Rhinolophus ferrumequinum: one gene and its partners. The protein of the gene in region 1 interacts with the protein of each later gene in a biochemical or structural test. Links are inferred from orthologs where the notes say so. Each region holds a gene or a part of one and is shown on either strand. Other genes may lie near its edges.

Region 1 (7,971 bases):
AGGACTCTTTAATATTGTACTGTTTAATACTGTACTCTTTAAAAACATCTTCATTGGGTTTCCTTCATTCTGCTGATTTTCTTTCTTCTTTCTACTGGCTCTTAAATTTGTTTCATTCCCCTCAATTAAAAGACATAAATGTAACTTTTGGAACAACACAATTTTTCCAAAGAATCTCCTAGAACCATCTCAGTGCCACCACATACTTGTTATTATGAAGTTTTAGTATATATAGTTAAAAATGTATGTAATAAAATAATCCATATAAGCCTTTCTGATTTAATAAATACTAAGATAGGTCCATATTGATGTGCTATGTAAGATGCATGTGAGAATGTTAGAAAAATAGTTTTCAGTTCTAAGTCTTTTAGCTTAAAATCTTTCTCAGCTATAGAAGCTTCTGTCTGAAAACAGTTGTTCACAGAGTAGGACTCCTGTAGTCTTTATCATATGACCTACTGGACAACCACAAGGTATATCCTGAAATGAAAGAACTCTTAATATACAAGTGATATTTTGAAAGCCTGAAAGGAACATGAAACAAAGTCAAACGGAAACATACTTAGGCTTCCCCTTGAAACTTGCCTCTGTACCATTTAGCAGTACTAGAGACCCAGTTCCTTGCACTGTACTTTTCAGTCATTTCCTTTAAGGGGTCCCAAAGAAATCAGGGAACTTGCAATACCAGCTTTTACAGGCCAACACTAACTTCTGCCTTTGGACTTGTGATTGAGCAAAGATACTGTTAGTAGCTTCCTTAAAGTAAAATGCCTCTGATAAATTTGGTTTGTAAATGCTACAGAAAAAGTTCAACATAACCAACTGTAAGATAACTTGCATGACAATTTTAATAAGAGCACAGATTCCACATTCCCTCCCCCTCCCCGGACCAAACCTGCCACGAAGATACAATTTACAGCTCACTTTTATTCAAATCAACAAATACTACTATTATTACATTAGAGCACTTCTATAACACTAATAAAAACCTAGGTGAGTTTTCTCTTTAAAAGTTGTAAATTTATTAGATGAGGTATTAAAACTACTTCACTACACGCAACTTTCCATACATTTAACTGTTCTATTTTCTAATTGTTTTAAACTCAAGATCTCTTTTTAACATACTACAGAAAAGGAATGGGTTAGAGGACTACGGGTGGGTGGGGGCTGAAAATATCAAAATAACAGATGTCTCACTTTTCTGATGTAACCATCAGAATCTAAAACCTGGGGGCAACTATGTAATACAAAATTAAATTCCAAAGAATTTAGGATAAGTGAAAGTATACACTGTTACTACAGTTCCCATCATTATTTACCTCAGGAAATAACTAGTAGAAATAATGCTTGATTTAAATTTTTGGATGAAATCTATGTAATTTCACTAACAATTGTCACCCCAATAAATTTAAAAAAATTTAAAAAAATAAATTTTTGGTACCTTCCAGTTTGGTTCAACTACCAAAATAAACCAACTTGTCCTCAGAGTCAAGTATTTTCCTTCAGAAGAGGCTGTTGGTATAAATAAAAAACGTAACGAATTCATATGCTGTATTTGTACAATAAGGACAATGTTTTAAAAGCTGTAAATCTGATCACTCTGAGAAAACATTTTCTGAAATAAAGAAAATATCATAAGCTTAAACAACTGTAGAAACTGAACATTTTTTACAATTCAAAAATTTTAACTCACACTACTATGCAAACTAAATAAAAAAAACCTTGTTTCTCCTCAATCTTAAAATACATACTCAATGTAGAAAAAGACAAAGCCAGTTCTGAAACAAAAGATCAGCTGCTATGAAAACAAAATAACATTTTGCAGAGTAAATACACAGCCTTTGGACCAAAACAAATAAATGACCTTTTCACACAGTTAAAACTTCAGTCCTTAGCACAACCAGCACCTATGGTTAAATGCTGACTTAATTACTTGTTGGTATCCTGTTTGATGATTAAACGATGGTAAGGTTATTGGTGCTGTTAAAACCAAGACACGTTTTCTTGGGTGCAGTGATTAAAATCTGTTAAACCTACATTTAAAAATCTCTGTCCTCCCACTTCCCGATCATTACTCTTCTGCCTTGTAAGAGACCTGCACATACGAAAATAAAAGTAGATGGTGAGATGTTTATGATTTACAGTATTTTCCCCACTCGGAGCCTTTTTAAAGTCCTCTGAGGTTCTAAGATTCAAACACTATGTAAAAGAGTGATTGAACTACCTAACAATTACCCAGACTTCTTTTAGACTTAAGTTAACCTATAAGTAAAATGAGCATCTTTAACTTTTCCACGGGGCATTGGAGAACAAGTTCCTACTCATAAACGCTTTCAGGTCCTCAGATACCCGGCGCGATTGGAAGATCAAGCGTATCCATCAATTAGAGAGCTCTTCCGGGCTTCAGTTTACCCACTTACGGAAACGGGTGTATTAACTTGTTTTGTAGGGGGCCCGGAGGTGTAACTAATTAGTGTTTTAAAATGCTCTAAGATCCAGAGATGAAAGGAAACGCGAGAGACACTCAGAGATGACAATAATCATAACAAAAAGAATGACTAACTTCGAAGTCTGTATTATGTAAGGAAAGAGAAAGAAGTTACCAGATTCGCACAAACAAAAGAAAAGCCCACTGCCCCCTTTGTTTCTTTCATTTCTCTCTTCCTCCCCGCCTCTGCGGAGCTCCCCATCTGCAGAAGGCGGCCGACGCGGGGTGCTGGGCTCGGACTTGGCGGCCGATCGCCCCGCTCCCAGACCGAGGGGGAGGGCGCGCCGGGCCGGCTCCTGACAAAGGCGCTTCCTCCAGCGAGGGCGCGGGATGCAGGCGCCGCAAACTCGGCTCCCGGCCGCCTCCGGCGCGGGGGCGCGCAGGCGGGCCGAAAGAGCCCGCCCGTCGCCCCGGGAAGCCGCCGAGGAAGTTGCGTGCCCGCCTGGCCCGCACCCTTCACCGATCCCACCGCGATCCCTCCCGCGGCGCGCCGCGGACACTCACCGGACAATTGCTGGTGGTCGGAATCCCAGCACGACTCCGGGACCCGGAGCGAGAGGGTGAAGTGTGCGTGTGTGGAGAGCGCGAGCAGACAGCGCGGCGTTTCGTCTTCCTCGCCAGCCGGCCAAGCCCGGCAAGGGGAAGTTGGCCGCGGAGCCGAGCGCGGAGGAGCTGCGGGCCGAGGGAGAGGCGTGGGGCCCGCTTTGTGGTGCGCTCCCGGAGGGCTCGACGCAAATCCGAGCGCGCGGCAAGGCTGGTGCTGCTGGTGGAGGCGGCGGCGGCGGCGCCCCCCGACGGTCCCTCCGCCTCTCACCGCCTCTGGGTCACTGACACACACTCGGAGGGAGAGGAGGGGACTAGCAAGAGGGCGGGGCTGGAGGGAGGAGACAGGGCAGCACCACAGCGGGAGGCGGTGCCGCGGCGCCGAATGGTCTTTTGGGAGTTGTAGTTCTCCCACTGAAGAAAAAAGGGATACATTGTTGAGGACGCGTCCTGCACTGCGCATGCTCGGGGAGAGAGGCTCGGCCCCCCCCCCCCCACAGTTACTATGGTCACTGACACTAAGAAGAGAACGTGTTTAGTGCTGCTGCTGACTGAACAAGGCCCTTCTTGTATTATGGTGCTTGTATTAGGGATCCCGCCCTTAGCTAGACTTTCCTACTTCGCTCCACCCCCAACTTCTAGCCTTACCACTCACAAGTGCTTAGTGAAATCTGACTTCCTCCTGATATTTCGGTCTTCTTTGCTGTTTCATTTTATCCCACAAATCCTGAATTGCAAATACTCATTTCCGTCCCCTCTTTCAAGTGAAAACTTTCTGCCTTAAATTCATATTTTTTTGTTGTTGTTTTTTTACCTAAGACTTGCTGAAATGTAGTTGCTTCTAGTACCTTAACAATTAGGTTATAAAACTGTTAGAAACAACAATACCAGAATCCCATAGTTAATGTCTTCACTTCATTAGTCACATTTAACTTGAAGGCCAGCAAAGTTCAGGGTTAAGATCACTGTATTTTACTTGATCAGTGTAAAATAATCCAGATTTTTTAAGGTCTCTAATTTTTTAAAAATACAAATTTCATAAAGTGTAAATTCAAAAAATAAGTGGAAAGTTGAAAATTGTTAATACATATATATATATATATGTGTATATATATATATATATATATATATATATATATATATATATTATGTATATACTTTCATTTGGCAATAAGAGAAGTCTGAACCAAGGTCTGAGTATGCTGTTGGGCTGGTCAGCTAAGGCTACACCCATACTGGTCATCTATTTGTGAATAGGTGGTGGAGGAGGGTGGTGAAAGGCAGGACACATTCCTGGATTTTCAGAGGACCAACTAAAGTCAACCTGTGTCAAACTCTTTTGTTTTCCTTCTCTGCCTACCTAGAACCCCATACCCTGGAAGAAAAAAATTAATGCTTAGAAATCAGAAACACATTTAGAGCAGGAAAAGTCAAGGTTTTGAAATACAGCCTCCAGATCAGAAATCCTTATGGTTGCAGACCACATAATTATTCATTCAAAGACCATTTAGTGAGTATACTACGACCCAGGCACTTTATTAGGTCCCAGAAACAGCAATACAGGAACGTAAAAGAAACATTCTTTGTTTTCAAAGTGCTTACTGTGCAGACTCAGTGTAATAAATACTATAATAGGAAAGTACACCAGATGCTTTGATACACGGCTACTCCAGACCCAGGCAAGGTCAAGAAATACTTCAAAGAATGTTTGAACTTGAGGATGACTAGGAGTTAATGTGTTTGAGGAGGGGGAGGACAGAAGTGGGTGAGAGCATTGGGGGTGGAGGTGGATGGCAGCAAGAGTAAAACACTAGAGGCATGAGACCAAAGAGTATTTTGGTTCAGCAGACTTCAACGTTGCTGACAGTAAAAGGAGGTTGGGAGACGAGCAAGAGTAGACACAGAAAAGCTAAAGGAGACAGCTTAGATCATGAAGAACCTAGCATAGTATGCTAAGGAATGTGGACTTTTCTCTGGAAGCAATGGAAAGTCCTACCAAGATTTTAAGCAGATGAAATTTTGATAAGATATGCATCTTAGAAATGCATTTTTAAAAAGATGAGAGCCTAAACTAAGGCACCTGCAGTGGCAGAAGACAGGACTGAAGGTAATCAGACACTTTGAGGGATAGAATTAATAGAACCTAGTGAGTATTTGCCTGTGTTTGGGGGTGAAGGGTGAAGGAAAGTTATCCATTATGATGCTTTTGGTTTCAAGCAGTAAAAAAGCCAGATCTAACTGACTTAATCAATAAGCCAATATTAACTGTTTAGATTAAAAGTCCCATGAAAAGACAGGCTACAGGGGTGAATGATTAAACAACTCAGAGATGTCATTAAGGACAAGTTTCTTTCTTGTTTCATTGTTTTTCCTTCCTTGGTATATTAACTTTATGGTCAAATGACAGTTACCAACAATTCCTGTGGCTATAAGTTTTGCCACTAGGTCCAAGAAGAGAAAAGAACAGCGAGTCATTTTTGGAAACTCTTTTAGAAAGAAGAAAAAACTATTTTCCCAGAAGCCTCAAGAATTGATTCATGTGTCCACATAAGCTAAAAATGGTGGCCAGGGGATGGTATGAAGCTAATTATTTTAGGGTAAAGATATATGCCCTGTCCCTAGACCCAAAGGAGTAAGCTTCCCACAAAGCTGTGATGAGGAAGTGTGGATATTCCTATGAAAGTTGAGGTGATTACCCCAAAAAAGAAGAGTTGAAGCTCAGAAGGAAAGTGGGGGACTGCAACGTCTACTACAAGAAAAGGGAAGGATGTCTCACAGATTGCCGCCTTATGTGATTATGAGCTAGTGATGCCATTCACAGAGTTAGGGATTACAGGAGATTGAACAACTTTTGAGGGGGAATTTGAGGAGTTCACTTTGGCTGTGTTGAGTTCTAGATGTCTCTGGACATATAAATGGAGAAGTGCAGTGGGCAGTTTTATATATATATATGACTCTAGTGTTCTCAAGAGAGATCGGACTGCAGAAGACATAGTTGGAATACATAGATGATAGTTGAAATTATGGGAATGGATGAGATCACCCAGGAAGAGTATACACAACAGAAACGGAAGAGTCAATAATAGCACCCTAGGGAAACCCAGAACTTAAGGAGTAGGCAGGAAGATCATGAAAATGCCTGGGAACTAGCAAGAGAACTAGGACATACAAAGCAGTAGGAAAATGTTATTTAAAACCAGGAGAAAAGTCAGTCAACGTAAACAAAGCCAGAAATGATAAAGATGGTAGAATTAGCAGTCAAGAACATTAAAACAGTTATGATAAATGTGCTCCATATGCTGAGAGAAATTAAAGACATAAAAAATGGAATTTCTAGAAATTAAAATTGCAATTTCTGAAATAAAAATTTCACTGAAGGGAGTCAACACTCAGAAGTAGAGTAGGCACGCAGAAGAAAAGATTAGTAAACTTGAAGGCATAGCAGTAGAAATCTAGCCAAAATAAAGCACACGAAGAAAAAAACTAAAAGCACGAAAAGGAAAATAGAGCCTCAGTGATCTGTGGGATAATACTAAGTATTCTAAGATATGTGTAACTAGAGTTCCAGGTGAGAGAAGGGTGAGGGGGGGTGACAGAAAAATTATTTGAAGTAATACAGCTGAAAATACTTTCACAGTTGATAAATATTATAAACCCAGAGACTCAAGAAGCCCTAAGCACACATATTTGTGCACATTCACAAAAAAACCACTGCAAAAGACACCATCGCTAAACTGCTGAAAACTAGTGATAAGAAGAAAATATTAAAAGCAACCAGTGAGAGGAAAAAAGTATATTATGTATACAGAGAAACAAAGACAAAAATTCAGTAAACTAATCAGAAACTCTGCAATGCAAGGGCATTTTTTAAGTGCTGAAAGCAGGAAATAATCTGTCACATAGAATCCCATATTTAGAGAAAATATCTTTAAAAAATGAAGGCTAAAGAAAAAAATGCTAAGTGAATTTTGCCATTAGAACTGCATTACAAGAAATATTAAAGCAACTTCTTGCGCATGAATAAAACAATATCACCTGGAAACTTGGATTTATACTAAAGAATGATGAGTGCCAGAAATGGTAACTATATGAGTAAGAATAAAAGACTTTTCCCTCATTAAAAAATAAAATTTTTTTAAATTGATTATTTAAAGCAAAAAGTATAGCACTGTATTATAGAGTTCATAACAAATGTAGAGGTAAATGTTTGACAATAGTTCAAAGGAGTGAAGGGGGAATTCAATTGTTAGAATTTACATTACATATGAAGTGTTATACTAATATTTAAAGTAAATTGTGGTAAATTAAAAGAGCATATTCTAAACCTGACAACAGCCATCAAAAATAAAACAAACAGGTATAGCTAATAAGTCAATAGTGGAGACAAAGTGAAATCCTAAAAAAAAAAAAAAAAAAGCTAGAATGTAGAAACAGAAATATAGAAGAAATCTAAGTCTAATGACTATGGAGGTGACCGGAAGCTCCATACAGCTCTGGACTTTCCACCTTCTGACTTCTTTTAAGTGAGAAAGAAATAAACTTCTTTCCTGTTTAAAGAGATTTTTATTTTGTATTCTATGTTATGTATAGCTGAACCTAATCAGAACAGCCACAAGCCTATAGTAGTTTCATGAAATAGAGCATGTTTTTCAGCATCAGGTAGACCCACACATTGCCCAGAATTTGGCCACATTGCCAGCAACTTCAACATAATTCTGGGATTCATATGTTTGTCATTAAAATTCCAGGGATAGTCCATCTTTTGGATGAATATCATTACTATTTGATCAGTTTTTCTTAAAGGAGAAAAATACATGTAAAGTACTTAGCGCAGTCCTTGGAATACAGTAAATACTCAGTCAATATGCATACTTTGAAACTGAGCCACAATAATAAGATAGATATACCTCAATTTAGACATATGTTGGAGTTTGTACTCC
Region 2 (7,839 bases), on another chromosome or scaffold:
AGATTTCCAAACTTTTTGTTAACAAAATGGTGAACAGCTTTTCTGTGGTCTTTGTCTGTATCAGGTTTAAAGGTAAATTTGGAATTTTCTTTCTTTGCATCCAAATATTTGAAAAAGTCAAGTGCTTCTTCTTCGGATACCAAGTGAAGGAGTTCTTTATATTCAAGATTTGGTTTTACAACAATTTCACTGTTTTTTCCTACAGTTATTAAAAAGGGAAACTTCTGCCTAATAGCACTATGCAAAATAGCCCTCTGGTTTTTGTCAAGGATTGTGCCCAGTAAGAATTCAGGAGATGGTCCAATTAGCTCAGTTTTAGAATCCCACTTCTCTTTTATAGCACAAGCAAACTGATTCAGTAATTCACTAGTTTTTTTATCTAACAAAGAGCCTAATACATCAACTTTTTCTTCTTCACATTTGGAAGTTCCATCATTGATTATATCTTCCTTTTCTGAACCAGTCTGATGATTTTGGTCATCATTGGAAAACCCAGCCAAAGTATTGACTTCTTGGTCGCTTCCCTCTTCCAAGGACACATTTTGAAGATCTAGTTTTGTTTTCTTTGCAAAATTATTTGGCTTGGGTAGTGCTTTACTAATCTTGTCAATAGGTTCATCAGTGGCCTTATTAACTAACTGTCCCTGTTCATCTATTTCAATAACAACAAAGTCACTTGGTGAGCTTTTTATAGTGCCATGAAATCCAACATGATCAGTAATGAAACACAAAGAACTAAATCTGATTCTAAAATCTGTATCCTCTTCCATTCTTAAATAGCAATGCCTACAAAAGAAACAGAGAGGCAGTCAGTTACTAGAAAGAAAACTTGTGGGTCACAAAAAGAAATAGGTTTGCAGGATTTATTTAATTCTCTTTCTCCCTTTCAATCCTGAGACTCCTTTAATAGACACTAATAATCTACTTCTATATATCCTGTGTATTTTGACCCTCCTATACCAAAATGAATTAACATACAAACTTTTTCTGGTATAACTGGTGAGTTGCAACTTGACTCTTCATCCACTCCAGGATTCCATCTATTGTTCAGGATTAAAATGAGTCAGTTTCAACTTCACTTTAAAAATATAATTTGTTGGCCAGCCCAGTGGCTCAGGCGATTAGAGCTCTGTGCTCCTAACTCCGAAGGCTGCCGGTTCGATTCCCACATGGGCCAGTGGGCTCTCACCCACAAGGTTGCCAGTTCAACTCCTCGAGTCCCGCAAGGGATGGTGGGCAGAGCCCCTGCAACTAAGATTGAACATGGCACCTTAAGCTGAGTTGCCTCCCGGATGGCTCAGTTGGTTGGAGCGTGTCCTCTCAACCACAAGGTTACCGGTTCAACTCCCACAAGGGATGGTGGGCTGTGCCCCCGGCGACCAGCAACGGCAACTGGACCTGGAGCTGAGCTGCGCCCTCCACAGCTAAGACTGAAAGGACAACAACTTGAAGCTGAACGGCACCCTCCACAACTAAGATTGAAAGGACAACAACTTGACTTGGAAAAAAGGCCTGGAAGTACACACTGTTCCCCAATAAAGTCCTGTTCCCTTCCCCAATAAAATCTTTAAAAAATATATGTCACTTGTAGGCCCACAAAGAACAAAGAACTGTGTACAATGTGTGCAGTGATTTTCTAAACCCTACCTCTGAAATTTCCAGCTAAATCCAGAGAACTTGTGGCTAGATTTTTATATATTAGCTGTTAGGGATGGGAGAAGGATGAGAAGACAGGAAGAAAAAGGCCAAATTGACAAATGAAGCTCTAAATACCAACTTGCCATGTGATTACTTGAACCATAAGCCTTCTTGAAAGCCCATATAAAAACTTTTACAGATACAAACTTCTGAGGTTGACTCAGAGGGAAATTCCAACCTTGTCACGGTCATCAGAGAGAAGAAACCCTTACAGATTTTCTTGAAGCAGCAGACCAGAGAATAGTTCTGTAAGGAGGCCTTCACTCACTCTTCACACAACCTATGGCTACCACACCAGATGGAGCTACAGGAAAGCTAAAATGCCCAGGGCCCCGTAATATTCCTTTGTGTCAGCCACACTCTCCAGGTAATTTAATCATCATCTGGACCTTCATTCCATGTTGACAATGTATTATACTAATCTGAAACAATTTAGCAAACTCCCCTCCTCCATCCTATTATGCCATGTAGAAATCAGAGCAAATTCTCTACATCCTTATTTCTTAGGAAATATAGAGGGATATATTTATTTTCCTTCATTCCTTAATTTCCTGTACAGTCTCCTCAGTTTCTAGCCTTCACTGAAACCTGGCTATTTCCCCCAGGCTGCTTCCTCTGTAGTCCTCTCAAGTGAAAGCCATTTTTCCTTTCACACCCACCTAACTTAGGACCTGGAAATTGTAAATATTTTGTTTGCCACTACTCCTTCCAAACCATTTCTTCCTCCTCTACCTCCCCAAACCCCAGTTCCTTTGAAGTTCATGCCATCAGACTCTGCCATCTGCTGTCATCCTCTCTCTGGTCCTGGGATGACTCTTCCTTCTTCACTGAAGACTTTATTGTTCCCTGTCTTCTTAACCATCATGACTTGCAGGACCATCCATATGGATCATCCATTTAACATCACAGTGTCTCAGTTCCTCAATCTGAATCTCAACCCACTTCCACTTCATCTTGGTCATAGCCTTGACTTTCTGATCACCAAAAATTGCATCAACTTTAAGCATCTGGCTCTCTGATTACTCCTGCTGTCCTTTCATCACCTCCACTTTGTACTTCATTCCATAAATTCTTATACATTGTAAAGGCCTCTAATCTCTGCTTCTACTACTGGTCCACGTAACACCCAGAATGATTTAAAAGGTAAATTAATCCATATCACAACCTGATTTAAAACCCTCAAACCACATTTATAATGAAATTCAAATTTCCCTGACTTCCAAAGATTTCTAAGATTCTGGACTTTGTCTAGTCTACAAATTTATTTTGTAACCTTTCCCCATTTCCAACTATACTCCAGATACACTGGACTTCATTTCCTTTGTACCAACTGTTGCTGCTGATGAAATTGGTCCTTCCCAAATCACATCCTACGAGGTCTTCCCTGACCAATGTCTAAAGGAACCGGCAAGTCACTCTCTTTCACAAAACTTTAGCTTTTTGCATAGTATTTCTATCTAATAATTTTCATTATTTATTGTATATCTCCCTCAACTAGATTGTTAGCTCCATCCAAGCAAGAACTTGTCTGCCTTATTCACTGATTATCTCACATTTAGAACACTGTCACGCACATAGTAGGCATGCAATCATTACTGATAGTTGAATAAATTAAATTATAAAATAAGAGGGTAAGAGTGAAAAGGAAGAAAGGTCGCTTTTGCCTATGATAATTGGTAAAGTCATAATGCAAGACGTGGCCATCTAAGTCCTCAAAACTGTCTAAGCAATAGAAATGAGGCAGAGGCATATCATAAGTAATGTAAAAACAAAATATGCAATGTGGTAGAGAAAACTGAACAGTCCAGATACAGAGCTGTAGGAGAAAAAGTTTTCTGGACAGTTCTGGAAAATACAGTTGGATCAGTGCCAAACTATCTAAGACACTGAATGCCCTGTCAAGGGCTTAGAATCCAGAGCGGTCAATGGATGGCCGCCGGAGGTGTTTGGGTAGGAAAACTACACAATCTAAAATGATGTTTTGGTAAGACGCCTGATGGAACCGTACAGGATGAATCAGAAGCAGTGTTAGGGAAGCAATGTAATCAAGACTATTGTTGTAGGATCGGCCTTGGGAATAATAATAACAAATTCTTACCCCAGTAAAAGGAAGATATGAAGACATTCTAAGCTAATACAATGGGTAGAACAAGTAACTCGGGGAGAATGTGTAACAACGAGGGAATTACAACCAAGCATCTTAGGAAAAGAGCGGAACCCAGCGGGAGGGAGCCCAGGAGCCCACGTGGAGTTCAGCATAACTGTGCGGTGTTCCTCCGCAACCGATTGGTCGATGAGGGTGCCAGGTGGAGAGGGGTAAGGTAGTCTGACCCAAGGTTAGTGAATTCCCGGTTGAGGACAGACAGATACAAGGAAGATATTAGAAATGGAGAAGACAGCGCCTTTTCCCTTACGCTCTTACTTCACTAATCGCCGAAGCTCCGCCGAACTCACTCCTACGTACTTCCCGCTCCGTCCCCCACCCGCAGAATTTAAATCTCCGGCGTGGTGGCCTTTGGCGCGTCCACAAGTACCCTCAGACACCGCCACCAGCTCCCCGTGCTTCTCCTCCCTCCCCCACACCCGCCAGTCCCAAGGCGCAATCCTCGTCCACCTCACCCTCCGCTCGGGGGCAAAGGCTTGGGGTCCCAACGCCAATCATGTCATCGCCCCATACAGAAGCCCACATGACGCTAGATGCTCCACCGGGTCTACCTCACCTCCAGGTGAAGGCATGCCCCTGCACAACCTTGTGCGCATGCCCGGAAGACAATATATTTCGCCTCCGACGGAGGCGTTTTTAAAGGGACAGGCTCCTACTTACAGAAGCGACTAGGACTTTCCCACTTGGTGACGCCGCCCGCAGGGGCCAAGAGGCAGGGAAGGGCGGGGCCTGGCGTGTGGAGCCCTTCCCGTCACGCCCCGCCCCGCCCCACCGCGCCCCGCCCCGCGCCCCGCCCCGCGCCCCGATTCCTCACCGGCGGGCACTACCGGGCGGGGTGCAGTCCGCCTCCTGTGCCCCGCGTCTGGGCAGGTAAGGATTTCCGACTGTGCGCGCATCCTTCACCGCAGGTGGTCCGAAGTCCGCGCCCCGGCCTCAGTCTCCCTGCCCCAGGGTTGTTCAGGGACCGTTTCGGAAGGAAGTTAGCCTCTTATCTTCCAAATGAGAAAAGTTCGGGAGGAACTAGGTGGCGTGGACCGAGCTTGATCCAGGGTAAAGACTTGGTTGGGTCCCTGGGGATCAAAAAGTTACTCGGACCTGAAGAGGAATCTGGGGCGTGGAGAAGCGTCACCCAGACATTCTGTGGCTCAGTCGTTCCTCTCTCCGAGTCTCAACTCCTATGAGTTGTGTTCCGTCTGAGTGCGGGTTTACAAAATGAAATCTTTTTTTCCTGAGAACCAGGAAGTAAGTCCAGCACCCAGCAGAGATGCTTGTTGCTTGGAAGGCATGCTGAGCCTGCACAAGATTCTAAGATTCTAATTAGTTTGTTTCTCTGGCTTCCAAGCTTCCAGGAAATTAGAAAGTGGAGAGGAGTTGTAAGGTTCAGATAAGTGCATTATCAGATAGGAAAAGTGTACTTGACAGCCTAGAAGCAAGAGAGAAAACAGAAATAAAAAGCAGACCTTGAGAAATTGAGGAAGCGTTGTGGCCATTTAGAATGGGAACAAATGGCTCTTATTAGTGCCTCAAAAACGCATCTGCCCCCAAGGAACCCTAAGAACAGAGAACATTTAACTCTGCCTTGCCCTTTCTTTCTGGAGTAAGCCTTGAAGGATCTGTCAGAAAGTTCAGAGTTGTTTTATTCTCCTGTTTGCAAGCTAAACATTCCTTTGAAGTGTACTTTCTAACCTGTCCAAACTGAGCTCATGATCTTCCAGTCCAAACGTGTGCCTTCCACAGTCTATTCTATCTCAGTAAATGTCAGGAAACTTGTTTAGGCCAAAAACCTTGATGCTATCTTCTCACCTTTCATATCAGCAAATAGGATTCTCATTGCTGTACCTCAGAAAATATTGAGCATCCTAGGTCTTCCTACCTTCTCTGCTACCTCTGTGGTCCAAGCTGCCAGTACCTCCCACCTGGACTACTGGATTACTCTACTAAACTGGTTTCTTCCTTCTTCTCTGCCCTTATTCCAGGAGCCTTTATTCTCAGCAGCAGCCCCAGTGTCCTTTTAAGAACCAGTTTAGAGCCTGTCTCTCCTTTTCTTAAAGCCTCCACTGTCTTCTCATCTTGCTCAAGGATCAACAAAGTCAATACAAAGTATACGGCTCTAAGAGACCTAGCTCTGTTACCTCTCTCATCTAATCTGCTACTTTCCTACTCCCTCTCCAGTCTCACTATCTCCTGGCTTTTTCTCAATGACCCATTTCAGGCCCTTGGAATGTTTTCCTACAGATACCCAGTGGCTGACTTCCTCATTGATTCAGACCTTTAATCACCTTCTTTGTTTCCCTCACTCTTCTTTCTCTGTAGTATCTGATCTTTCATGAAGTTAAGATCAGATGCAGTCTCCTAAATGTTTGACTGTTTTCTTCTGCATTCCCTGACCATATACTTTTTTCAGGTTTACATTTCTGCTAGATTATTGCAAAGTTTTCAAACTGGTCTCCCTGCGTAAATATACATCCCTTCAATTTTTTATCCAGAGGAATCCACTTAGCCAAATAACACCTTTCCTTAAAGTCCTGTAACTTTTAGTATAAAGTTTAAACTCCTTGTCATAGCATATGCGGTACATGATGATTTGGCCCTGTCTACTTCTCGAGCGTCACCTCTTATTACTTAATGACATGCATCCTGTGGTCCAGCCATAGCAAACCCTTTGCCTGAGCCTAACCTATGCTCCCCTGTGCTGTTCCTGCTGCCTGGAGTTTCCTTGAGTTTATCCTCATTCCTTTTCATTCATCTTTCCAACCTCCCAACCCACCCAAATCTGTCTTAATATACTTCCTTCGGACGGGCTTGGCTTGATGTCCCTTCTCTGGGCCCCAAAACATACCTCTTGCAACATTTATAACTCACTGTAATTGTTTTATCCCCTGCTAGACTGAACAGCTTGAAAACAAAAGATTTTCTCTTCTCTGTAGCTCCTGTTACTTATTGCAAAGCCTGACATGTATGTTTTTTTGAATGTAGGGATGTATATTTACGCAGGAAGACCAATTTGAAAACTTTGCAATAATCTAGCAGAAATGTAAACCTGAAAAAAGTATATGGTCAGGGAATGCAGAAGAAAACATTCAAACATTTAGGAGACTGCATCTGATCTTAAATTCATGAAAGATCAGATACTACAGAGAAAGAAGAGTGAGGGAAACAAAGAAGGTGATTAAAGGTCTGAATCAATGAGAAAGTCAGCCACTGGGATATCTGTAGGAAAATGTTCCAAGGGCCTGAAATGGGTCATTGAGAAAAAGCCAGAAAGGAAATGACTGGTCTTTCTAGAAAAGAGAGTGAAATGAACAACGCATTGAGTTATAGAAGCAGGGACATAAGGCATGAATTTTGAAGTCAGATATGGGTTCAAGTCCTAGCTCTTTTACTTACTACCTTTGTGAAATAGAGATGATAAAACTGCATTAGTCACCTTGAGGATTAAGTGAAGTGTATAAATCACCTTGCATGGTACTGGGCAGGAACATGTAACAACACCATTATCTACAATGTGCTAGTTACTAGTTATATATTAGTAAATAAAATGATCATAGTCCCTGAACTCGTGGAACTCTTAGTCTGATGGGGGTGACAGTAAACAACTGGACAAATAAATTTATGGTTACAAATAAATTGTGCAGTAATGAAAGATATTTAGGTTGAGGGCAGATAGACCTACGTAGATGTAATGGTCAAAGAAGGTCAAAGAGAAGAAAATGCTAATACAGAGGTCCAGGATACAGAGAGACTTTTTGCTTCTTACTCTTTTATAACTTCTGGATTTTGTACCACATGAATATATTCTCTACTCCAAAAATTAGTTATATTGCATCTTAAAAAGAAAAATATATAGGGGAACAGGAGAATAATTGGCAGGAGAATATCTGAATCTATTTGTCTTGATTAATTAGAAGGAAAGGTGACTGCCTGCTGAGAACGAGGGCCATGGAGATCAAATAAAACCACATGGAGAGAGGTAAAGG
Region 3 (7,414 bases), on another chromosome or scaffold:
CTGAAGCCAAGTGTGAAAGCAGTGACCATAAAAAACTAAGTTCAGCCTTTATAGGAACTCAAAGGCTTCACAGCTGTTTCCTGGCAACCAGGGGCAGATTAATCGAGAGGCTTGTTCTCAACCTGACTAAGAAAGGCCTCGGGGCCCCTGACCACATCTCAAAGACTTCTCAGGGTTAGAAAGCAGGGGTCTGCACACTCATTTCAGTTGAACCCAATTAAGATTTTTCTGCTTCCACTCTCAGCACTCTACACTCTTTTCACTGCCTGGGGGTACAGGCCAGATCTTGTCATTCCCCTCTTTTTAAGACCATTCATTCATTCATTCATTCAACAAATATTTACTGAATGCTTACTTCATACCAGACATTTGCTTAATGGTTTCCCCTTACATTGAATAAAACCCAAAGCCCTGTCTCCAACTCATCATCCTTAGCGGCCTCCCTTGCACACTACGGCCTTTATTTTGTTCATTCAATATGCTAAGCTTGGCCCTGCCAGTGCCTTTGCATTCACTGTCTCCCCCTCTCCTGCCTGTGACACAGGCTTGGCTCCTTCCGTCAGTTCAAAGCCCCATGTCAGAGAAGGCGTCCCTGACTACCTCTCCAGATCATTGATCACATCACAGTTTCCTTCATAGCACGTACTGCTATCTGAAATTCTCTTAATCACTCCTTTCACAGGCTTCTCCCTGACTAGAAGCTCAAGGACAGGGCTTTGTCCATCTTGTTCACTAGTCACCCTGGGACATAGCAGGCCCTCAATAAATATCTGTTGAATAAACAAAGCAGTTTGGGGAAGCCCATTTTAGGGCACCTCAAAGCCTGTTCCACGTTATCTAAACCATGCCAAGTGCTCTTGTACTCCACTAGCCAGGAGCTGACATTGCTTTATCTGACCACCATTGCATTTATGAAGCACTCCAGTTGGCAGGGCCTCAGGAAGTTAGAATTCAGTAGCAGTTAAACCGGATGGTAGGGAGCCAATCTCAAGTGACTGACAACAGGGCTTAGTTGCAATACTACCGTAACGCTGGCTGCTATGGGTACATTGTGGTCCCCCCAACCCCGCCCCCACCCCAGGTCATAGCAACCTGGCAGAGGTGTTACTCCGGTGAGAAATTTCCCACAGCAGTCTGGCCTGACTCAGCCTCTCTCTTCTGAGTGTCTATGGCAGTGTCTTGGTAAACGAATTGACTCGGCACTGTTCCAACTGAAACCAAAGTCTAGGAAAAGCATGTGTGGTCTCCTCTATCCTCCAGGAAGATCCTGCTGCTTTCAGTGTAAAAGGCAGCGGTGGTAGGTCACTTCCTTTAGATCCCCTACATACATTTCCTTCTATTCCCACCCAATTATCAGGCAAGAATGGCTCCTTGGGATACTGGAGGAGCCACATCCTGGAAAGACATGGATTTTCTCACGCTGTTCACTTTATGTCAACAGCCTTCGATAGCCAGAGGATTTCAGTACCCAGGCTAGTAGCCCTGTTACTTCCTCCACCATGATCACCCCATCTGGGAGGGCCTTTTTGAGCAACTTGACTGCCAAAGGCCTCAGGGTATAGCTTCGTCACCAAAGGGGGAAACTGTCACCCCCAAATGCTGCACTTCCAGAATCTGACTCTCTCACCTCTTCAGCCCCTCTGGGGGACCTTCCCCAGCCAATCCTCCCCCTGCCTCCTCAAGAAGGCCACCTGAGTCTGTCCCCTCATGTCCAGCTGCAGGATAAGTTTGAAACAGACCTTTCAGGATTTGATCCTCAGGCCCATCTTAAGAGCATAGAGCAGGGAATCCAGTCTCAAAATAAGTGCTGCTTCCCTCAACCTACTAGGGACTGGACGAACGCCCCCTCCTCCAAGGTGTAGCTCCTTCATTCTCTCCTGCCCTCCTGGAGAAGTGGGGCTTTCCTCAGCTTTCCTTCCCCCAGCAGTCACCCAAGAATTCCCACTGCATTTGTTCCTCTCCCCACACCCATCCAGCCAATGGGGAACTTCTGAGCTGAAGCCACATATCATATTAACAATATCCAAAGGACTGGAAGGGAGTGCCAGTTTCCACAAAACAGACACTTCCGGGGTATGCTTCCCTCAGCCAATAAAGGAGATTTTTCTTCTTTAAAGGAAACCTCTCTGAAACCCGACCTTTTCCCACTCTCATCCACTGCATGGGGCTTCCCTCAGTTGACTCCCCTCTCCCCCACCAAACACCTCCAGGGCTCCCAATTCACCTGTTCTTCACCCAATATCGCAAGTCTCCACCAACTGCACCATCGGAGCCTGCCTCCTAAAGCCTAACATCTGTGTCCTCAAATAGGGGCTGGTAACGATGGCATCATTTCACTATCGGCTGCCCCAACCGGCACCCTCAGGAACCTGAGAGATCCTTTCACCCTTCTCACTTATTGTGTAGAGATGCCCTTACTCCCCGCAAACGTAGCCACCCAAGACGCCCCTTTTCTAATCAACACAGAGATTTCCTCAGCTAACCTCATCCCCAAAACTAACGCAGGAGCCGTCCCCTTAGCCAATGGGGGATCCTCTCAGTCATTCCTCAGGATCCCGTTTCCTCCTCCCATCCATCCTGACGGGCTTCTCTGAAGTCCCCGCCAAACGAACATCCCAAGGCTTCCCCCCGCCACCCGGACGAACAGCATGCAGAAAAGGATTTCCATAAGCCTTAAGGCGCCTCCTCCTCCTCTACGGAACCCCTCGATCTCCACCAAAGAGCCGCCAGCCCCGATCTCCTCAGCAGTGCCTCTGGGCGCTCCCCTCGCCCGCTCCCGCCGCTCAGCAGCGCCGCGGGGCCCGTCCCTTCCTCCCTGCGGGGCCCTCACGCCGCCCGGGGGAGCTTCTGGGCCTCGCCGCGCCGCCCACAGGCCCCTCAGGCCCCCGCCCGTGCTTCCGGCCGCCGCCTGCTCCTCCTCCCACTCAGGCCCGCCGGGCAGCCGCCGCGGAGCCTGGCGGACAGAGGCAGCGCAGAGGCCCTAGTCCCGCTGCAAGGGCCTTTGCGGGTCCCCGACCCCCGGCCCGAGCCCGCGTTCCTTCGGCCGGCAGGGCCCGGCGCCCCCGCTCACCCGAGCCCGTGGTGGCTGCCATCTTGCGTCGCTGTCGCTCGAAGGCCGGCCCCTTCTTCACCCCCCACCCGTCCTTGGGCCCTTCTGCGCAAGCGTGCGCGCAGGCGCAGACGTCATCGCTGACGCCTGCCGCGGACCACGCGATCCGATGCTGGGGAAGGTTTTTTTCCTGCCTTTATAGATAGAGGAAATATTTGCTTGCGCGAGGGCCCGGCTATGTGCAAGTCCCTCCGGGCTTGGGTGCGAAGGAGGTATTGAGATGCTTGGTGAGAAGGGCAGGGGTGATCAGACTTGGGAGGCGAGATTGTGAGAGAAAGAGAAGAAAAGACAATTGTAAAAAAGCGCCTATTTCGTTTCGAGCATTTTCCTATCTAGTTGGATCCTCACCACATCCCTACCAGGTCGAGATTAATATGAAAAACGAAGCTGAGTCGGGTTAAGCCATTTATCTAAATTCAGCTGTTAAGTGGCTAAGGCCGAATCTGAACCCAGGCCTGATCTTCTTGCTTCTAGGGTTGATGCTCCTGCGCCAGAGGAGGCTTGTAACCGGGCAACTAAATAATTTGGGGCATTAGAGTGGCAGGAAAAGCATTCACTCATTTACACATCGATCGATTTGTTCATCCAAACACTTAACTAAGCATCTACTATGGGCCAGGTGCTGTACTAGGTGCTGGGGATGGATATACATCCCTGAAGAAGCAAGCCCCTCCTCCTACGGGCGTACATTCTAGCCGGAGACAGAGAGCAAGTAAACTAACAGGAAAGAACATAATTATGAGATTATGTTAGAGAGTAACATAGAGAGTAAACCAGAGAGTAAACCAGGGATAGAGAGTAAACCAGGGAAGGCGCAGCAGGGGGTGGTCAGGGAGGGACTCCTAAGGTGGTCACATTTTAATGGAGACCTGAAGGATGTGAAGGAGGTAGAGGAAACTGTTTACACGTCCTGGAGACATATATTTGCAGGTACATGTTCAATGCAAGAAGCAACTCCCCCTTTACCACAGATGGTCTGAGAAGCCCTTATATGGATGTGGAAACAGGCTGTGAGAGGTAAAGGAACTGCTTGAAGGTCACACAGCTAAACACTGGCAGAGGAAGGACCAGAACTTCAGTACCGAGGAACAAGAAAGCCGGAAGCCCTTACTCAGCACATCCAAGCCATCACCTTGTTCTGACAGCCATGCTTCCTGAGCATTTCTCAACTCCATCCACTGTTCTTCCTTAGGATAGGCTGCCCCTGTCTCCTCCCACTGGATGACCCCAGCAGCCTTCATTCATGACCCCATGATCCATGCTCCACATGGCAGCCAGAGTCTGCTCCAAAACCCATCAGGGAAAACTTTTCAGTAGCTTCCCACTACCTTGGGATAAGAATACAGACTACAAACTGAGTGGCCATAGAATGATCCTCCAACAAGGACACTCGTCAGACTGAAAGTGGGCCTAGTATAATCTTGCCAGGGCAGCAAGCAGAAACGAGGACTCTTCAGGGCAAACCAGGACGGATGGCCACCCTACCACAAGGCCCTGCACCTAGGGCTAGGACTAGGATGGGGCCAGTGAGGAGTCTAAGGAATCAAATTTAAGGAGGCTTTCACGCTGTGCCTCCCTAAAAGGTATACCCTCAACTTTCACCCCTCCATGGCACTCACTACCTGCACCTCAGACTTGCTGTACCTCTCCAGTTACACTGGCCCTTTTCAAGGCCTCTGGAACACAAGTCCTCTCCCTCCTCAGGGCCTTTGACTGGACTGTTCCTGCTCTTCTGTGCAGGAAGATGTTCGCCCTCTTAGGGAAGCTTTTCCTAATTTCGCCATCCAGATCAAATGCAGCCGTAATCGATTTGCAAAGTGTCAAGAGTGTCTCCTTCCCAGCACTGGCCACAGGCAAGCATCTCGACATTCCATGTATCACATCATTCCAGTTTACCTTGAAGACAATGGAAAATATTTGCCCTGATCTTTGGGTCCCTGTAAAGCATCAGGTAGCAGGTGGGAAGCGTTTGGGCTCCTAAGGTGGACTCACCTCTAGAGTGAAGTTTTCTGGGTTTGAATCCTCCACCACTCACTTTGCTGTGTGACTTCAGGCAAGAGACTTGAACCCCTCCTGGCATTAGTTTTCCCTTCTGAAAAAAGGATAGTATCAACCTCATAGGGTGTTGTGGAAATAAAATGCCCAGGTAGCATAAATAAACAGCAAAATAAAACCGTTGGGCACAGAGGAAGGAGGGTCACTAGAAGAAATGGCATTTACCAAGACATCCAGGTTTTAATCGTCGCAACACAACAACTCAATGCGGCATCTCCTAGGTATATCCCCATTTTAGAGATGAGAAAACTGACTTTTTCAGCTAACAATGAGGATTGAAACACAAGCCTCTTATCCACGATGATCATAAATATTTACTTGCGTAGATTCCTTGGTACTCATAGGGAATTTCTGGCAAGCGAAAAATATTTATCGACAATAAAGCAAATTCCTATGCAAAATACCTAGCAGGAGGAATAGGTTAAGCAGGAAGTCTCCGGGCATGCTGGTTATTATAGTCCAGCGGTGTCGCAGAGCCTTCTGGGAGTTGTAGTCCTCCCCTTGCTCACACTCTCTCGGAGAAACTCCGCCCCCTCCCCAGAGGTCACAGCCGGTCCCCAGTGCGGGATTTCTCTGGCGTGTTTGGGCCCGGTCCCTGCTCCGCTTGAGCCGGTAGCTTCAGCTGGTGCAGATAAGAGAGCTCTGTTTTATGATATTGTTGGGAATATTAAAATGGTTAATAGAACTAAAGAATTTAAAAAAGGGTTTGGCACAGAGCGAGTGCTATATAAGTATTAGCTACCACTATTATTATTATTATTATTATTATTATTATTATTATTATTATTTAATCCTCATTGACCCTTGCAAAGTAGCTATTATGATCTTTTCTTGTCAGATGAGGGAACTGAGGCTGGAAGGAGTTAGATGGCTTTCCCAGGGTCATACAACACGAAGGAGTAAAATCCAGTTTTGGAATTGGGTTCTCTTAATCCTGGGTCACCTGCTGTTTCCTCTGTGGTGAGGAAGGTGGAGCCTGAGAAGTTTGAAGCAAAATGTGAGCGTATTTGCATTTTTACAAACGCAACCTGGCTGCCTTGAGGAGATTGAATTGGGCTGCCGCAAGACTGGAGGTGTGGAGTCCAGAGAGGAAGTGCGTCGGACACTCCTGACTCTCCGTCCAGTCTCCATGGCCCTTCGCGCCAGAAGGTCCAGTGTTTAGGTGTGAATCCAAGCCAGTCATGGGCACTACCATTTCTTTTTGCCAGTGATTGATCCAGTGGCGTACCTGTGTCCTAGTTCTTTCTGGTCAATGAATTGTGGAGGGGGCATGTTAGAAAAGTTTTTGTCCCTTCATAACAGCAGAAGAGAAAACCTTTTTTTGTCCCCTTTCCTCCTTCCTAAAGATGAGATTGTGATGGATGGAGCGGTGGCAATCATAATGAAACCATGCGACACAAGCCTGAGGCCAAAAAGCCTACCGTCTCACCAAAGAGGCCAGCACAGAAAGACAGAAAGAGCTAGGACCTGGCTGATGTAGTTGAGCTGCTGGATGAATCCAGGGACTGCCTACCAACAGGCTTCTTAAGACATGATCCAATGATTGTTTTTATTGCTTAAGCTGCTCTTAAAGGTAAGTGTATGTGGTCTACAGCCTGAAGTATACATAGTTGATACAGGAAGCTGGCACAATGCTCCAATCAAGAGATATATAGATGTGGACGGTTCCCCAGTGTTCACTGAAAAACACTGTTCTCAAAAGATGGGGAAACATCTGGGCAGTTTTGGAATCTCTGGATGTGAAAGGCATGAATAATTTGCAACAGTACATTCAAAATGTAAAAACTGCAATATACTTTACAAAATCTACAATATTAGTTTTTGGAGCAACACACACTTCTCAAACTCTACTGTGTGACACAAATCACTAGGAATCTTTTTAAAATGCAGATTCTGGTTCCATGGGGGTGAGGAGTGCTGAGATTCCGCATTTCTAATGAGCTCCAAGGGATACCAATGCTGACCCACAGACTACACTTTGAATAGCAAGGTTGTGGATAACATTATATAATTTTGTTTATATTTCCCATTTAGAGTTAAAGAAAAACCCCAACCTCCGTGCTATAGCTTGTATAATACAAACTACAGAAAGTAAAGCTGACGAACTGTTGATAGGAAGTGTCACGGGAACCCAGAAGACAGAGCGTATAATTCCTAGGGAGGTGTCTGTGGTTGAGGGTGTGTGTGACACATTTGCTAGTGGCATCTCATGGCACATACATGGAGTTCTGTTCCCTAGGTGTGTCTGAA

What was found.
Region 2: of the proteins of PELI1 (region 1) and IRAK4, one has a biochemical effect on the other in vitro, tested with the Homo sapiens proteins (4 studies listed by BioGRID and IntAct). The link is inferred for Rhinolophus ferrumequinum from reciprocal best matches to the Homo sapiens genes PELI1 and IRAK4.
Region 3: the proteins of PELI1 (region 1) and UBE2V1 form a complex in vitro, tested with the Homo sapiens proteins (3 studies listed by BioGRID). The link is inferred for Rhinolophus ferrumequinum from reciprocal best matches to the Homo sapiens genes PELI1 and UBE2V1.

The regions. Positions count from the first base shown.
Region 1 is NC_046296.1:25,735,192-25,743,162, reverse strand, and holds the start of PELI1 (E3 ubiquitin-protein ligase pellino homolog 1), read right to left. Parts: upstream 3,332-7,971; 5' UTR 2,993-3,331; intron 1-2,992. UniProt on the Homo sapiens protein: E3 ubiquitin ligase catalyzing the covalent attachment of ubiquitin moieties onto substrate proteins. Involved in the TLR and IL-1 signaling pathways via interaction with the complex containing IRAK kinases and TRAF6.
Region 2 is NC_046293.1:46,386,579-46,394,417, forward strand, and holds the start of IRAK4 (interleukin-1 receptor-associated kinase 4), read left to right. Parts: upstream 1-4,645; 5' UTR 4,646-4,732; exon of another isoform or gene 4,733-4,912; intron 4,913-7,767; exon of another isoform or gene 7,768-7,832; intron 7,833-7,839. Other genes in the region: pseudouridylate synthase PUS7L, read right to left, coding at 1-770.
Region 3 is NC_046306.1:9,444,244-9,451,657, reverse strand, and holds the start of UBE2V1 (ubiquitin-conjugating enzyme E2 variant 1), read right to left. Parts: upstream 3,195-7,414; 5' UTR 3,093-3,194; coding exon 3,071-3,092; intron 1-3,070. UniProt on the Homo sapiens protein: Has no ubiquitin ligase activity on its own. The UBE2V1-UBE2N heterodimer catalyzes the synthesis of non-canonical poly-ubiquitin chains that are linked through Lys-63.